Linked DNA regions of Neodiprion lecontei. The protein of the gene in region 1 purifies or fractionates together with the protein of each later gene. This does not show direct contact. Links are inferred from orthologs where the notes say so. Each region holds a gene or a part of one and is shown on either strand. Other genes may lie near its edges. The genes, in order: tRNA (adenine(58)-N(1))-methyltransferase non-catalytic subunit TRM6 and tRNA (adenine(58)-N(1))-methyltransferase catalytic subunit TRMT61A.

What was found.
Region 2: the proteins of tRNA (adenine(58)-N(1))-methyltransferase non-catalytic subunit TRM6 (region 1) and tRNA (adenine(58)-N(1))-methyltransferase catalytic subunit TRMT61A purify together in Homo sapiens (affinity purification with mass spectrometry; 4 studies listed by BioGRID and IntAct, counting the BioPlex papers as one, with this or other methods). This does not show direct contact. The link is inferred for Neodiprion lecontei from reciprocal best matches to the Homo sapiens genes TRMT6 and TRMT61A.

What each region holds. Positions count from the first base shown.
Region 1 is NC_060262.1:31,290,497-31,298,584, reverse strand, and holds tRNA (adenine(58)-N(1))-methyltransferase non-catalytic subunit TRM6, read left to right. Parts: upstream 1-3,151; 5' UTR 3,152-3,532; intron 3,533-3,602; 5' UTR 3,603-3,635; coding exon 3,636-5,033; 3' UTR 5,034-5,398; downstream 5,399-8,088. Other genes in the region: uncharacterized protein LOC107225853, read left to right, coding at 1,628-1,704; uncharacterized protein LOC107225851, read left to right, coding at 6,263-6,598, 6,852-7,130. UniProt on the Homo sapiens protein: Substrate-binding subunit of tRNA (adenine-N(1)-)-methyltransferase, which catalyzes the formation of N(1)-methyladenine at position 58 (m1A58) in initiator methionyl-tRNA.
Region 2 is NC_060264.1:31,855,227-31,862,569, forward strand, and holds tRNA (adenine(58)-N(1))-methyltransferase catalytic subunit TRMT61A, read left to right. Parts: upstream 1-3,864; 5' UTR 3,865-4,169; intron 4,170-4,267; 5' UTR 4,268-4,309; coding exon 4,310-4,664; intron 4,665-4,759; coding exon 4,760-5,032; intron 5,033-5,128; coding exon 5,129-5,298; intron 5,299-5,543; coding exon 5,544-5,693; 3' UTR 5,694-5,732; downstream 5,733-7,343. Other genes in the region: sensory neuron membrane protein 1, read right to left, coding at 672-776; tubulin gamma-2 chain, read right to left, coding at 6,557-6,757, 6,887-7,069, 7,179-7,310. UniProt on the Homo sapiens protein: Catalytic subunit of tRNA (adenine-N(1)-)-methyltransferase, which catalyzes the formation of N(1)-methyladenine at position 58 (m1A58) in initiator methionyl-tRNA.

The DNA.
Region 1 (8,088 bases):
CACTTTTCAGCTGTATTAAAAACACGTTTCTAAAGATTTTTAATGAAAAGTTCTCTCGTAAAATTCAAAGGAATCAGATATCAACGTGTACGGTAGCCGCATATAATTGAATAAAAAAAAAAAACACCGCAAATCAGGATTTCTTGTACTAGTTTATACAGTAATAGTCCACCATGACTACCGTGAATATTAAATCTGTATGGTCCATAACCCGGTGAAGTCATCACGTGAGGAAATGCCAGAATTGACCCGATAAAAGAAAAAGTGGCTAAAAAGAATGAAATTCTGACTCTCGTCAATTGCAGGATATTCCAAGAAGCCCAATTGAGCCAGTTACGAAATAAGTCTCTCTCAATTCTCTTCATTCTTTTCCCGTTTTCTGCCACCGAAATAGCTGTATAATAATTCTTATTGTCCGTGAATTTACATGTGTTAAAACCGAGAAACAATATTTCCAGATACTTAACCAATACCATGAGAATTGTATGTATATAAATACATCTTTCACGGTACAGCATTGAATTTGCAGTTACGTATAAAGAAATTTAATACCCTGCCGGTGACTCCAAATAATATCGGATCATTTAATGTTCTTGGTAACAAGGCAAGCCAGTATACAGCTTGTTCAATTAAATAATCTACATGTATATTATACATACGTACGGTTTTACAGGTATTAAAAACTTCGGACTCGGTATAGTACTAATTATAACTTCATCTCATGTTATTAATTAGTAAAATAAATAAGCTGTGAGATGTGTAACCTTCCGTTTACTCAGAAATGGTGAATAACTTTTTCTTGCATACCTTACGCGGATACAAATTCAGTTCGGCGTTAAAATTCGTTGGTTGCGATTAGTTGAGGCTTGTACTGATGAATAAGATTACGTCCTATACACTCCTATGTCAGCATCCGGTAATTAACTCGTTTTTTTAATCATCTAATGTATTTCTTCCAATTACCCAGTCCACAACATTTATTTTGGTATGTAGTGGCATTTATATATTGCCGTATATTTTATTTCTTTTTATTCTTCTATGATTCCAGTTCCAGTGCAAAGTAATTATTTTTAAACTTTCTTGATATTTTTCGGTAAACGTTTGGAAGCGCCTCATACAAATCCTAATCATCCTAATACAAATGTAATGATATTCAGGTAAACGAATGGTAGTTTTCAACCAATAATATTTTGATGACAATTGGATTTAATCCGATTTCAAACGGAGACTAGATCTTTACCGTATATCTTTTATTTCCTGCAGTGACATGATTAGTCGCAGAACTTATTAGATCAAATTGTTCAGAAGTATATAATTCAATCTATTTTTTCATACAAAGTTAATTCAGGCTTTCATGATTATAACACTTCTACTTTATTAATTTTTTTCCTTAGGCACCTTTATCACAGCTGTGTGTCAATTTGAAAAGAAGTTATTAGTTTTTTACATTTTACTTAAAACCGGTTACGGTGGATTTAACGAGTTTTTAATGTACACTGCTTAGTTCATGTAATAACTCTTAACGGGTACTAAACAACCGTTATAATGCTGAATCCGTAAACTCCGATCAATAGATTGTGATTTGAATCATAAGTATGTCGAATGAAAAAGTATAACTTGATTTCAGGAAAGGCCGGACGAAGAGTTGAGCAGTGGATTTTCATGGTGGCAGTAACGAACCTACTGTTATACAGCCTGAGATAACACCAAAGAACGTTCAGTTGATTTTACGCGTTTAAGTGTACTGGGAATGAAGAAGTAAATTGTTTGTAAAACTTTGAAAATAATTAAAAACCCTTTTGTTGAAACATTATCGTGTGTATGTTATTCGTGTAGATGTGTAGCACTGCCGGAAGAGCCGTGTAGTGGCATTGATTTAAATAATGTAACATACACCTACGCGCCATTAGACCGTCAAAAGCGAACAAATTTCTTCCTCAGATTAAGACGACGGGGTTTTTTTTCAAACAAAATGGATACGAACATTCCCTAGTTATACTGGCATTCGTCATCAAAATCGCCCAACACTCGTATACCCGTATATTTTCGCAGACCAAAAACAGGACTAGAAGTAAATCCGTTTTGAAATGTCAATTTATTTTTGTTGCATGATATGTTAATGTTAATTACATGTATATGCAATAAACAATGTAAAATACTACATATATGATATTAAATACATAAACTAGAAATATGTCACGCTGCACCGAGTGTACGCTGTGTGTCACGTGCAGAGTTTGTATAATAAAATATTCACATACAATCGAAAATAAATATCGATGTTACGTTTGTGTCAATTTGTAGTATTAACGTGAAAAAGAGTTATAGTCAGATAAAAAAATAAAGGTGGGAGGGGGCAGTGGATTTCACATGAAACATTCTTAATGAACGATGAAAAATATATTACAAGTATGTGAAATTTATCAATAACTGACGGCATTTTCACAGGAACTCCGTAAGAGCTTCCTGCGAGCTATGCATGCTGAGTTACAAAGGAGCTCAAAAGTTGCGCCGTGAGAGCTTCCTCAAAGCTGCTAAAAGTGTAGCTTCCTCAAAGCTCGCATGAAACTTTTCTTGCTCAAAAATTTCGGAGCGTTCTAGTAGTTCATCGAAATAAGTTCTCTGGGAACTTCGTTGGAGACTGTCTGAAGCACTATGTATGATCATTATATGGTAATTGTGAGTATTGTGACTACAGTCTGATAAAATGCTGTATTGATTAATTATTGTGACTTTTAATTTATTTATTCGAATACTCAATTCATTACTGAAATTCGCTTTTGCAGAAATTTAAAAATTACAACCTAATAAAAAACATTCATCAGGTCTAAATGGTTTTGGTAGAAAATACAAATCGTATCGATTATTTATTAAATTCAGTGTTGAATATATACGTCTAAAATGTCGTAGGAATTTTTTTAAACTAGATTTTTAATCGAAACCAATCCAAATGCAATAGGGTTCCTTTTTCAAAAGTAGACGCTGAGGAAGAAGGAAATGAAGTGAGTATAGAGAGAGAGATGATCCCCGGCTATTGATCATTTGGAACTAAAATAAAGCTTGCTCCTAGAAGTAGGCAATTATTTTCACATATGAAAAGTTGCCCATCTATCTCCAGGAGCTTGACACAAATTCAATGCAATTCACGCTTTACGTAAACCGTTTCCACTGATTGAGGGTAACAGTTAAACGTGATCAGGTTTAAAAAAGTGAAATCCGAGTATTTGTTATAATATCCCAATGAAGCTATCCTACCGCAAACGTTCTACAAATACGTCCGCAAATAAAATTTTAACTAATTATCAATGTAGATGTTTAAATATACCCGCCTTCAAATCTACAGGACTGCAGTCTTGAAATCGTTGGGTTAATAACATTGGCAGCGTCGACCCGAGCTTCGATTAGCCCATGGATTGGCCATTGAAGTCGATCTTGTCAGTAGTAGTTGGTAGTAGTCTGTACTCTGTGGTCGATCTGAGGTTACGCTACACCAACAGTTGACGTCTCGTTGGCCTCGCATTTGGAGGTTAAGGTAATCATTTCTCACGTGGATATCTGATTACCACGGACGATAGAAAATATAAACAAACTTCACATTACAGCTTGGAATTTGGTGTACCCAAAGTGCCACCACAATGAACGAGCTTGATGCAGAAGTTGTTAAAGTTGGAGACTATGTTGTCGTACAAAGACAGAATTACTACAAGCTCCATAAGGTGACGGCGAATGGAAATTTACTACTGGGTAAAGACCAGCTGGAGATGAGTAGTATAATTGGTAGACCAATGTGGACAACGTATAAAATGGAAGCAAAGGTGACTGGGAAGAGATTATACACTTTGCTGGAGACTAAAGAAGTTGAATCGCTATCGAAAGACTTGAAGAGTGTGTTACCCAGTGGGCTAGACAACAGAAGCATCATTGACGACGGAACGTCGCAACAGTTATCAACCGAAGATATTGTGGGATTAAGGGAAGCAGGGAAGTCGAGTAAAGAAATAGTTGGCAAACTGATAGAGAATAGCAAAACGTTTCAGAATAAAACTGAATATTCACAAGCCAAGTATTTGAAAAAAAAAGAAAAGAAATATTTTGAGTACATCACGATTAGAAAACCTACAATACGGCTAATTCAAGACATTTATTTTCGAATGGATCATCAGAAGATCAGCAGTCTGAGGATGGATACACTAGCTCAGCTCCTTTCTTATTCTGGTGTTAATGCTGATGGGCTCTATATGGTCTATGACAGTGGTTCTCAAGGGTTGCCCGCTTCAGCTATGCTTCATCGCATTGGCGCCGGAACAAATGGTAAACTAATTCACATGCATCCAGGAAATATTCCCCAAAGAACATTGATTCAAGCAATGAACTTTCCCGAGGAGCAGCTGCGTAGAATGCTTACTGTCAACATTTATAGTCTAATACGTATGTATTACCAGGGGACTGAACAATTTCTAGAAGTATCAAAGTACAAAGCAAAATCTGATACCCTGAACGTAGAATGCATTGTATTGGAATCCAATGACACTGACTTCACAGAAGATGTGGCAAATCCTAAAGTGCCCAAGGCTGAAGCTGAAGTAAAGGCAGAGGGGATTACAGAAGATAATTCAAGCAACAGAGCTGTGAACTCATTCGAAAGCAAAGGGTTGAAACGCAAGCTTAAAGATGCACCAAGTCACGAACCACCTAAAAAACCTAAATGGCTTATAGAAACACAAGAGGCTGTTGAGATTATGAAAGTAACTAAAGCTGACGGTCTAGCTATCATAGCTAAAGAACATCCACTTAATATAATCAAAGGTCTTCTGCCATTTTTAGGAATCTCTAGGCCATTTGTTATTTATCATTCATCTCGAGAACCATTACAGGAAACTTACGTTGCTTTGAAGCAAAGATCAGATGTTATTAATTTAAGGTTATTCGCCAACTTCTTACGGTCTCATCAAGTATTGCCAGATAGGACACATCCTGACATTTTAATGAGTGACACAGGTGGATATTTATTGTATGGATATTTAGTTGACTAAGCTTAACACATAAACTTCCACAATACACAGTGATCAAAACACAACACAGTTGTAGCACTTTTAGTGAAAATTTCAGGCTATTTTAAACCATATAGCATACGGCTGACAAAGTTGTAGAGAAAAACTTTCTCACGAAATAACAAACTGCAAATAAAATCAGTGATTTGATACAAGGTCCAAGTATAACAAAAGTTATTTTTGAGTATATTACAGTACCAATAATTTGTGCAAATCTTATTTGAAAATAGTTTTTGGAGAAATTTCCAGTGCTAGCTTCATGTAATTTAATAAGAATTCCATTCATTATATTAAATGACATACAATCAAGATGAACATTTCTTATAAAAGTATAAATATGCAAATTATATCAATTCGGATGAAGATATACGTTATTAGGCCAACTGCATCTTACAAATGAAATCCGTTGTATTGTTGACTTGGTAAAAATTTCAGAGCATTCAATAATCAATCTGCGAGAAAAATAAATTTTGTCAATCTATATGTAAAACTATATATTTGATCCTTGCGTAAATTGCAGGTAACGATATTGTTAATTAAATATCGATACGTTTCGTTAGAGATGCAGGGCTTGCCTGAGACCATACCTCCAATTTATTCCATTTTGTACCTAATGAGTATTTATCAACGCATCGTATGATTGTACTTTCAGTTGGTAATATCAGAATCTGCTGCAACCCTAATCGACCTACAGCGTTGACTGTAGATACCTATCGTATATCTGTCGTATATACATATTTGGACCCAGATTGGAAAGTGCATTTTACATCGTACAACGATATACCTATAATGCTGTTGGGAAGTGAAATTAATGCCGAAATTTGAATTCAAATATTTCCTTAATCCAAATACGAACTGGTCCGAAATTCCAATCCAATATCCATGTTATCATGCTGTGCTTGACTTGAATCATGTTTTAAACAGTTTTGAAACGAGTGTTGCGTGAGTGCATTACGAGTGCTTCAATATCTAAGTACAACATATTCACGCAGCCTTGCCCAAAAAATCGTTAATTCCCGCTTGGCAGCCGTTGGCGTTCAGTCGCGTTCAATCACGTTGGTATCCATGCTCTCTACCGTATCGTGCTTTCGCCAAAGCTCAAGCGACAAGCAATCAGGAAAAAGTGAACTGAGAGAAGAGGCTAGTGAATTATTGACAGTTTGATAAGCGGTATTATTTGGGCATTAGAAGCCACGATATAAGCAGTGATAATGAGGCCAGATTCGAGGAGTATCTCGTTCACATTTCACCGCTCGGCTTTAACCGCAAACAACACCTCAGACGAGCCGAAAGAGTCAAGAAATTTACGTCGAAGACTGCAGGATCGTTTTGACCAAGAATGCCCGTACAATTTGGCCAACAAAGAGTCACCTTCAAAAAAACGTACTTCCAAAAGTAGGGCTGGTTCCTTAACTCCCGAAAAAGGATGGAGTAATTTAAGCTTGAGTAACGTTTCGGCCGACTCAAGACGAGCCTTCAGAAATGGAGCTGAAAAATTATCCAAGACCATCTCTTCGGTTCGAATGACTTTTGGAACAATTTCTCAGGTTTGTGCGTGGTACTATAATATATCTGAATTCTTTGTAACTTGTCGTCCCTTTTTTAATAACTGCCTTTCAACACCTTTTACTTTTTACTTCATGATAGTAAAATACCACCTGCATGAAATTCAAACGATTGCTATAGCCATTGAATTAAAAATCTATTCAAGCATTTGTCTTTATATCTGTCTGTATCACTGTGCATTGGATTGTGATTTTTGTGGAACAAACAATAACATGCTCCTTTTTCTCTATCAAGAAATTTAGAAGTTCAACACGCAGGAGGCAACGTTTAGAGGAATGCCACTCCCCCACAATCTCTGCGACACCTCAAACTCGGTCTCGTCATCTGTTGGGCAGGACACCAACAAAACTCTACAGTCCATTTGGCATAGAGTCGCCAAGGTCTGCTTGGAGTAATTCACCTGGAAAAGAGAATGAGGATTCCAGTGCCATGCATAAACTTACCAACGTTGAACAAAAATTGCGCAAACCCTTTCAACTAACCAAAGCTAATGGCTTTACTACGTTCAGATAAATTCTGAAATCAATACATCTATCGCACAGATACTGATTACTAATTAGCACATTTTTTCACGTTTATTAATCCTTCAAAGGATAAAAATATTTCATTCCCAGCAAGATATATTGCTGAATGCTGCTACTTTTATTGTAAGATAATTGATGCCTTAACATTTTTTGATAATGCGAGCTTGTGTGATTTACATGTTTTATAGATAGCACGTCAGAGCTAATTAATGATCAATCTGATTACGACTGGTGAATTTACAACTAAATTTTTAAAAAAAGTCAAATTACGGCTTTATTGTTCAAAACACCGTCGAAAGTTATCATGCTGTTTCAAATCCAAATCATAATTTGCTATCCACAACTTGGACGTACATTGAAAAAATGAATCTTCACTGCCTAATTGATATTGACGATAACTTATTTCACAACAAGTCTATGTTTTAAGTCTCACTCAATGGAAAAAGCATTCGTGACAAAGGAACTAAGAAAGGATGGAAAATATCGGTTTCTGATATTTGAACCGACTGTAGCTGTTTTACAATTTCTTGTTCAAAATGATCATCGCAGGGGGACATGATTATAATTTACGATTAAAAATCGTGTATCTCTTCTATATACCAATTAATTATTCCTTCCGTTAAATTTGCGTTGACGATTCCGATATTGATTGAAATTAAACTTGAACTTGTCATCCCTCCAAATTGTACTGTAATGATAAGACTTGAGCAGCATATTGTATAAACCCCCTGCCTTGTATTGTATTTTCAGTATTTATTGTTCGTAAGACAAATGAAACAGCCAACTGTGTTGGCTTATAAATGAAAAAAAAATCCTATTAATTTAATATTTAAAGTACTACTTAATTTAGTAATTAAATAATAACTCATAACGTATTGACAACTATGTTGGAATTAAGAAGTAACATATTTATCTAAATGATAGTTTTAGATATTTTGTCTTGATCG
Region 2 (7,343 bases), on another chromosome or scaffold:
AATATTAATATTAAGAACTCAAACTTTGACACCATTCTTTTCTCGTTATTTGGAACAATGTTTTTGACGTGAGTGTTTAGTGAATGTTAAAAAAAAAAAAACAGAACAATCGATTGTTTTTATACAGTCTAGTATATACGATGTATAAAGTGCGGTTAAATTTGTAAACCTGATTGCATATTTCCCGTCGAGAATCCACCGGCCAGAGTTTAATTGTCTCGCAGTTTCGTGACTAATGTATTTTTCTGACCTTGTCCAATAACAGGTTTCTTCCCACAGGACAGTCATTTTGCGAATCACGTACATACATTGATTCATACATATAATCCAGTATTATTATACCGCAGCGACAAGATTTATACTATTACCAAACCATTGATTAAGTAGTTATAAGTGTCATGTGGAGATTGGCAATTACATTTTAATATCATGACACGAGTTGCATCATATATACTTAACAATGCAGTAATATCAAAAGTAACATGACTAGGCTATATTTAGCGGATCGTTCTTCAAGTGATAGATAATTTCGATTACAGGTGAGGAAAACTTTATTTAACGTAAAAATTTAATAACCACATAGCGAAAAATGAGAGATTTAAAAAAAAGGTAAAATTTCACTGAAAGACTGGTTAACGTTAACGTTAAAAAATAATTACATTTGTACTCACCTTACGTAACTGAGACCTAATGAATGGTGGAAAGCTCACCCACGTCAATACAGACACAAAAATCATGACACCTGCGCCAATGCCCAACTTGATTGGTAACCGCATCTTACTGTTGATTTCACTATAAATGCAAACAACAACTTTGTATGCAAGAAAATGATGATCAAGAAAAAAGAAAATTCGAACAAAACCGGAGCTTGGGTTGGACTTGGGAATAATTCTTATCCCGCGTAAAGCTGTCTCATTTATTTTTCAGTTACCACACAATAATGGTAATTTGAAAAATATGAGAAATAGAAATTTAGAACGTTTTTTTCATATCCAATTTGCTGTGAGATATTCCTGCGGCAAAGGAAAATAAAATTGTCTTAAGCTGTTTGGAAATTCTAAAAGAAATAAGTCGTGACGGTAAAATTCGAAGAACAAAAAGAAAAACCTACAACAATTATTAAACCCGCCTCATGTATAAATATTTTATTGCATAAAATTTCACCAAAGAAATTTAAAGAATGCAGTAAATCACTGCAAATAGGAAATAGTGGATAAGCCAAATTGAAATTACCTAAGAAAGAACCAAACTAATCTCGCTACAGATCTCGGACGACGCAGAGCGCCTTTGATGGACGCTTGAGGATAAATGGTGAAGAACTGTCAGTAACGACGGGCGTCAAGTAAGTGTTTCACACTTCTCATTCCTCTTTGTCAAACGGAAAAGTAAATTTGTTGCATCGCGCAGGCGCTTCGGCAGAATAGTCAACAAAGTTTGCAATGTTTTCGTTACGGCGTCGGACGATATACTTTGTTATAGCCATTTATTTATTATTTATGATTTGGTTCAGCCATGATATTGAACGATTAATCCTAAATAAAATACGACCTGCAAAAATATTCCAGTCACACGCACATGGAGTCTTGTAATATTTTAATTCTGGATGGCTTCTTTATGGGGTAAATTTGCAAAATTCCAGTCGAACTTCCGCAACGTACAGTTGACCAGAATCGCAAAATGTCTGTCTATCGCCACCTCGGAAGACTGATTTAATTCCGTGACTTCTTGTTACGAACCGAACTACGCATCTCTGAATGAAAAAACTGACTGATCTCATGCTTCGTGAATACTGATATTAACGAGTCTCGATAGCAATGCAAGACCGTCTTCAAGACACGAGATCATATCTTATGGATCCGCGGACGTATCTTGGGTGTTAAATGCGGCTGATATCGAACGATAGTGCTGCAGAAAAGTTTATGAAATATGGATGAACCGGATACCTTATAGCCAAGACGATTATGTGCAATTGGCGGTAGTGATTCGCATATCGGATCGTACGTTTTCTATCTAAGAATAAGTATGTGAGCTTCGACCTGGGTGAACACCAAGTTCTCGGAGTAATGGAAGTAAATGCTCTATCTTATACTCCTCCGTTCCGTACAGAAGATGTCCTGAATTTTTCTGAAGATATGCAATAAATACTTTGCAGATGTTATAAATAAATTATTTCCTACGATTTACAAAATATGACACAGATGTTAGGAAATTTACTGATTCTTTCTGAGAAGGTTCCGATATTCTAGGAAAAACTACTTTGTGAAGACTATACTTTGTAGCAGAACCGATTTCGAGGGGAGAGGGGAAATGAAAAGACAAAAGGGGTTGTGCAAGATCTTCAAATGAATAAAAATTTTCCACTTCAGGGACTTCAATGGCGGAAATTGTACAAACGCTCTGAACTATAGACACCTTCAGAATGACTTCAACTTTTCCAGCTATCAAATTAACTGATCGATCTCATAGATTTTAAATCATGAACTTCTAGTTTGCATTAAAATTTTTATATGAACGAGCTTAAATACTTCATAGTTCGATCTTATAGTTCTGTGGTCGTAATCAGTTGTGGCATACTTTCCACTATAAGTGAAGATCAACGGTGGCTATATGACATGACACGACTTGGTTCGATTATTCACAATCAACGACTTGGAACAAATAAACTATTGTATTTTTAAAGAATAGAAAAAATTATTAACCCGGTATTAACACGTAAGTGGTTCGAGAATTAAATTAATGATATATACTGCTGAGTTAATAATTGCAAGTGTAAATATCGGGGTTCAGGAATATTCCTAGCCACGTAATCTTACTCTAAGGTGTGAAATTACCCAGGCCTCTACATCGGCCTTGGACTAATCTTGCTGCACCCTTGCAACGCTGAAGGTGTCGCATTAAAAATTCACGTGAGACGTTCCAGCAAATCCATTTCATGGCACCTTAGTTTTAAACTATAGCTTCTGTTGAACTTGGGAAAACTGTTTATTCTTCACGGTCGAAGAAAATTGATGTCAATTTTATATAGAGCTAGTTCCATTTGCCTTTCAGAATTGATGATTCCTTGTCAGTTTTTTTTTTTTTCCAAAAACCAATGTTATCATCTTGTGAATTTTTATTTCATATTTTACGCTGTTAAAGATATTCGATGTATCTTCAAGTTCATCTTCACGTATGTACGAGATGGTGGAAGTTTGACATTTTTTTGAATTTCTACCAAATTATGGGGTAGTAAACACAATTTGGCATTTTATATTCAAATCGGGGCGTTGATGGTCGAAACGGTGTTTTACTCAGTGAAGGAACATAGATTGAAACATCTTGAAATAATGTTCAGGAATCTAAATTTCACAAGAAAACAAATAGCATGAGGCAAGAGGCAATCCGAATTAATGGTCTTATTGTTTCAAATCTGTAATTATGGTTTTCTTTTGATTCAATTCTGACGCAATTTGATTTTTCTCCAATCAGTCATATACAATTTCATCTTTATCCATTCCTATGAGATTCTTAAGTACATATATGAAAAAATGAAACAATCCAGCTCAATTTATCACAATTAAACATAAAAAACATCAAATGGGTAAAAATCACTGTAAAAGTTTCGCTCGACTTAGAAAACCCTTTTTGAAGTTATGAAAACTTGGGAAATATTACATATATTTTGATGCAGATATAGCTTGTCTAGCGCTAACATGATGAGTTTGAAGTTTGATTCACTTACAAGTGAACTTCATACAGTTTATACAATATTTTATTATTAAAGCAATTAAAAAAATGTTTTCAAAACTTTGACATTATCTTCATCAAAGGCGCTTAACTGATGATCAAGACTTACCGAAGAAGTACACAACGCCGCCGGTAAGAACGAATTGGGCACAGGCCAGGATCATGTCCAGTCGATAATAAAGATCGCCACAACGTTGTAATCGTAGCTTAACTCACTCTTGATCAATATAGTTTCGATACCTAAACTGTCAATAGACATCATCAGGAGTCATTTCGAAAATTCTTCATCACCGCGGATAGCCCAAGTCTCTTCAACGCGGTGACTTCATCAACATAACCTCAAAAGCGGCACGTAACCAGCACACAATTTTGCTATCAGAATACTTCCAAGATACACGTGATTTTGAGAATTTGCATTCCTGGGTGTATGGCAGATAAAAAGGGTAAGGCAACAGAAATCCGTTGACAAATAGTCAATGTTCATAATAATACACACTAGAGGACCAATTCTATTCCTCTCTAATCCTCGTTGCTATTGCAGGCATCTACAGGCGCTCAAATACCTCAGCGAAGCAATCCCACGATGAGTTTCAACGGGTCTAAGGATCTCGTCGAGGAGGGTGACGTAGTGATCTTGTATATTGCGCCATCCAACATGCATTCCTTGGAAGTGACTCCGAAGACATTGAATAAGAAAGGCATTTTGGTTGAAAATGTATTTCAAACTGTTTACGGAGCTCTCAAAGTTGCCTCCTTGGTTGGCGCTAAATACGGTGCCAAGGTGGACCTATCAAGGGGGTGGGCCTACGTCTTACAGCCTACTTCAGACCTCTGGACATTGACTCTGCCGCATAGGACTCAAATAATTTATACACCAGACATTAGTAACATAGTTTACCTGATGGAACTCGAACCTGGAGACACTGTGATAGAAACAGGTTCGGAAATTCAGTGTACCACACATTAATATGAATATCTTCATGATTTTTACTACATTCCAACAAATTTTCATACCCCAAACTTTGTTAAACAGGAACGGGAAGTGGTTCCTTGTCGCATGCTTTGATCAATGCAATAAAACCTCACGGTCATTTGTACACCTTTGATTTTCACGAACAACGAGTATCTGTGGCTGACATCGAGTTTAAAAAGCATGGATTAGAACGCTACGTTACTGTCGAACAGAGAGACGTTTGTCAGACAGGATTCGGAGATGCATTAGAAGGCAAAGCCAATGCTATATTTCTTGACTTACCACATCCATGGTTAACCATTGAACATGCAACGAGATGTTTTCGGAAATCAGGTAAGTTTTAACTTTGCTTGTGTTACCTAGGTAAAAATTTTACTGAAAAATGTTTATTAAGACACGTAAAAATTTAAAACACCTTTCCTTTTTCAGGTGGTAGACTCTGTTCCTTTTCGCCATGCATAGAACAGGTTCAAAGAACATGTGAAAAACTCATGTCTGCTGGATTTATAGAAATAAAAACAATCGAGTGTCTGCAACGGGAATTGACTGTACAATACAAAACTGTACCAGTATTGAAACTAGAATGTTTAAAAAGCAAGGTATGCAGATCATGTACAAAAAACAAGTCTCAAAAAAATTAATCAATTCAATTGATTATTAGTAATCAATTTTATTTCAAATGGTAAATTAGATGTCAATGTAAAAAGTAGAAAATTGATTGAAGCAGTATAAAATCGTAAATTGATTGAGAATTCTTTTTGACGTTAAAATTTTTCTGCCATGTTGAGTAGCGTAAAAATATCAATGTATAACATATACCAATTACTCGTTTCTTTTGCTGCAGCATACCGATGATAACAGAAACGAAAATAATGGCAAAGAGGTGGGAGGACTGGAAAGATTAGTAACTGTTTCGCACGCGCACTCGCTGCCAGGGCACACTGGATACATTACGATTGCTACGCTGCCGCCAATCGGAAGAAGGAGTTGTTAGTTAACCGACAATAAATATTTCCTTTGATAATAACACCAACCATATTTTTTCAAATTTTTCAATACCTACTTTCTATTCCACTCCAAAGATTTCATCAGTTAGATATTCACTGTTCAACAGCTAACAACTACATTCATAGCAGTTTTATACACATGTATGCAAGAGTAAAATTTTATTACCAACGATACGTCGTTTTAGTATTTTTTCTTCATGTACTCTATATTTTTTGACCCTATATTGTACTCAAGGGTGAAATTTTGTACACTGAAAATTCGTCATTTCAAACAATATTCAATGTTGAAACGATTTTGCAAAATTGTTAGGATTCACTTTACAATACAACATACATGATTAAAAAGCTTTTGATTTATTTGTCAAGTGCAAAGCATTGAAAGCCCCATTAGAGCTGAACTCGCATAAGCAGATAACACAAATTCTTTTCAACGAACAATGTAAACGTTTCTCTGTTAGATTGGGACCGAGAAAATCAGCAGACGCTGAGTTGCGCTACTGTGAATATTATTAAAAGTTTAATAAAAAATAGATGTATCTACACGGCGTAATGGTAAATATGGCGTGCCGCGGAGTATTTCGCTATTTATGGCATACAATTCATCAACTAAAATTGAAAACATCAACTTCGCGGTAGAATTGAAAAATGTATACACAGTTTCTTCTGAAGTTAATACCTCAATCATTTCAAGAGCTTCGTCAAAATCACAGCGATGTTTAAATGTGCGAATTAAAACTTTGTCCGTCAAAGCAGCTCCACCGAGGCTTTAAGCATGCGTTTCGCAGTCAGCACGTTTTGTGAGATGACAGCATAGTTTTGGTGTCTTTTAGGCAATATGATAGTCTTAAATTTATTCGCTTTTCACGGGGCTCCACGTGAGGTAATCCGGCCTCGTAGCAGCCTGGTATTCCTTTACAAGGTCCTCAACCACTTGTCGCGAATGATCGAGCTCGTCCAAATTATCTTCGAACATTTTTTCCTTACGAAATTGTTCCAAAAAAGCTTCTCGTTTGCGTAGCTTATCGTACTGTTGAAGTGCGCGATCAAAAAGCTATAAGTAAAAAAATTACTTCTATATTTTAGGTCTCCCTGAAAGTCGTGCGTTTCCTAAACCGAAGAGACGAAGATTTTCGATATACAGAAAAGAAAAATGGATACGAGAGGAGAATGCTATACGTACCGACGATATGTTAGTATGGTTTGCCAACATGAGTCCAGAGACTCTATGGGTGCTCTGAATGTATGGAGACTTCCTTGAGAGCGCGACTTGGATGCTAGCTGGTCCCCAGGGTATAAATTGCGCAAGTTTTCTCTCTCTAATTCTTTGGAGAGATTTGTGAACTTGTGTAGGGTCTACTTCTCCCTGTGAAAAATGATCGAATTGATGGATCAGAAGAGATGAGCAGAATGCCAAAAAAACAAAGTAGATTCATTAAGTTACGTATTTCAGAAATTTATTATCATCTCCTGACCTGGATGATATTTAATATGGAAATATAACAGTGCGCCGCATTCCGATCCAGAGCTGTGGATACCATCATGTTTTTGGGCTGCAATAATCGTCGCATCACGTCCAAAACCGAGGTTTTTCGAACTGAGGCTCCCTGTTTCAGGAAAAATAACGTTACTGCTTCACT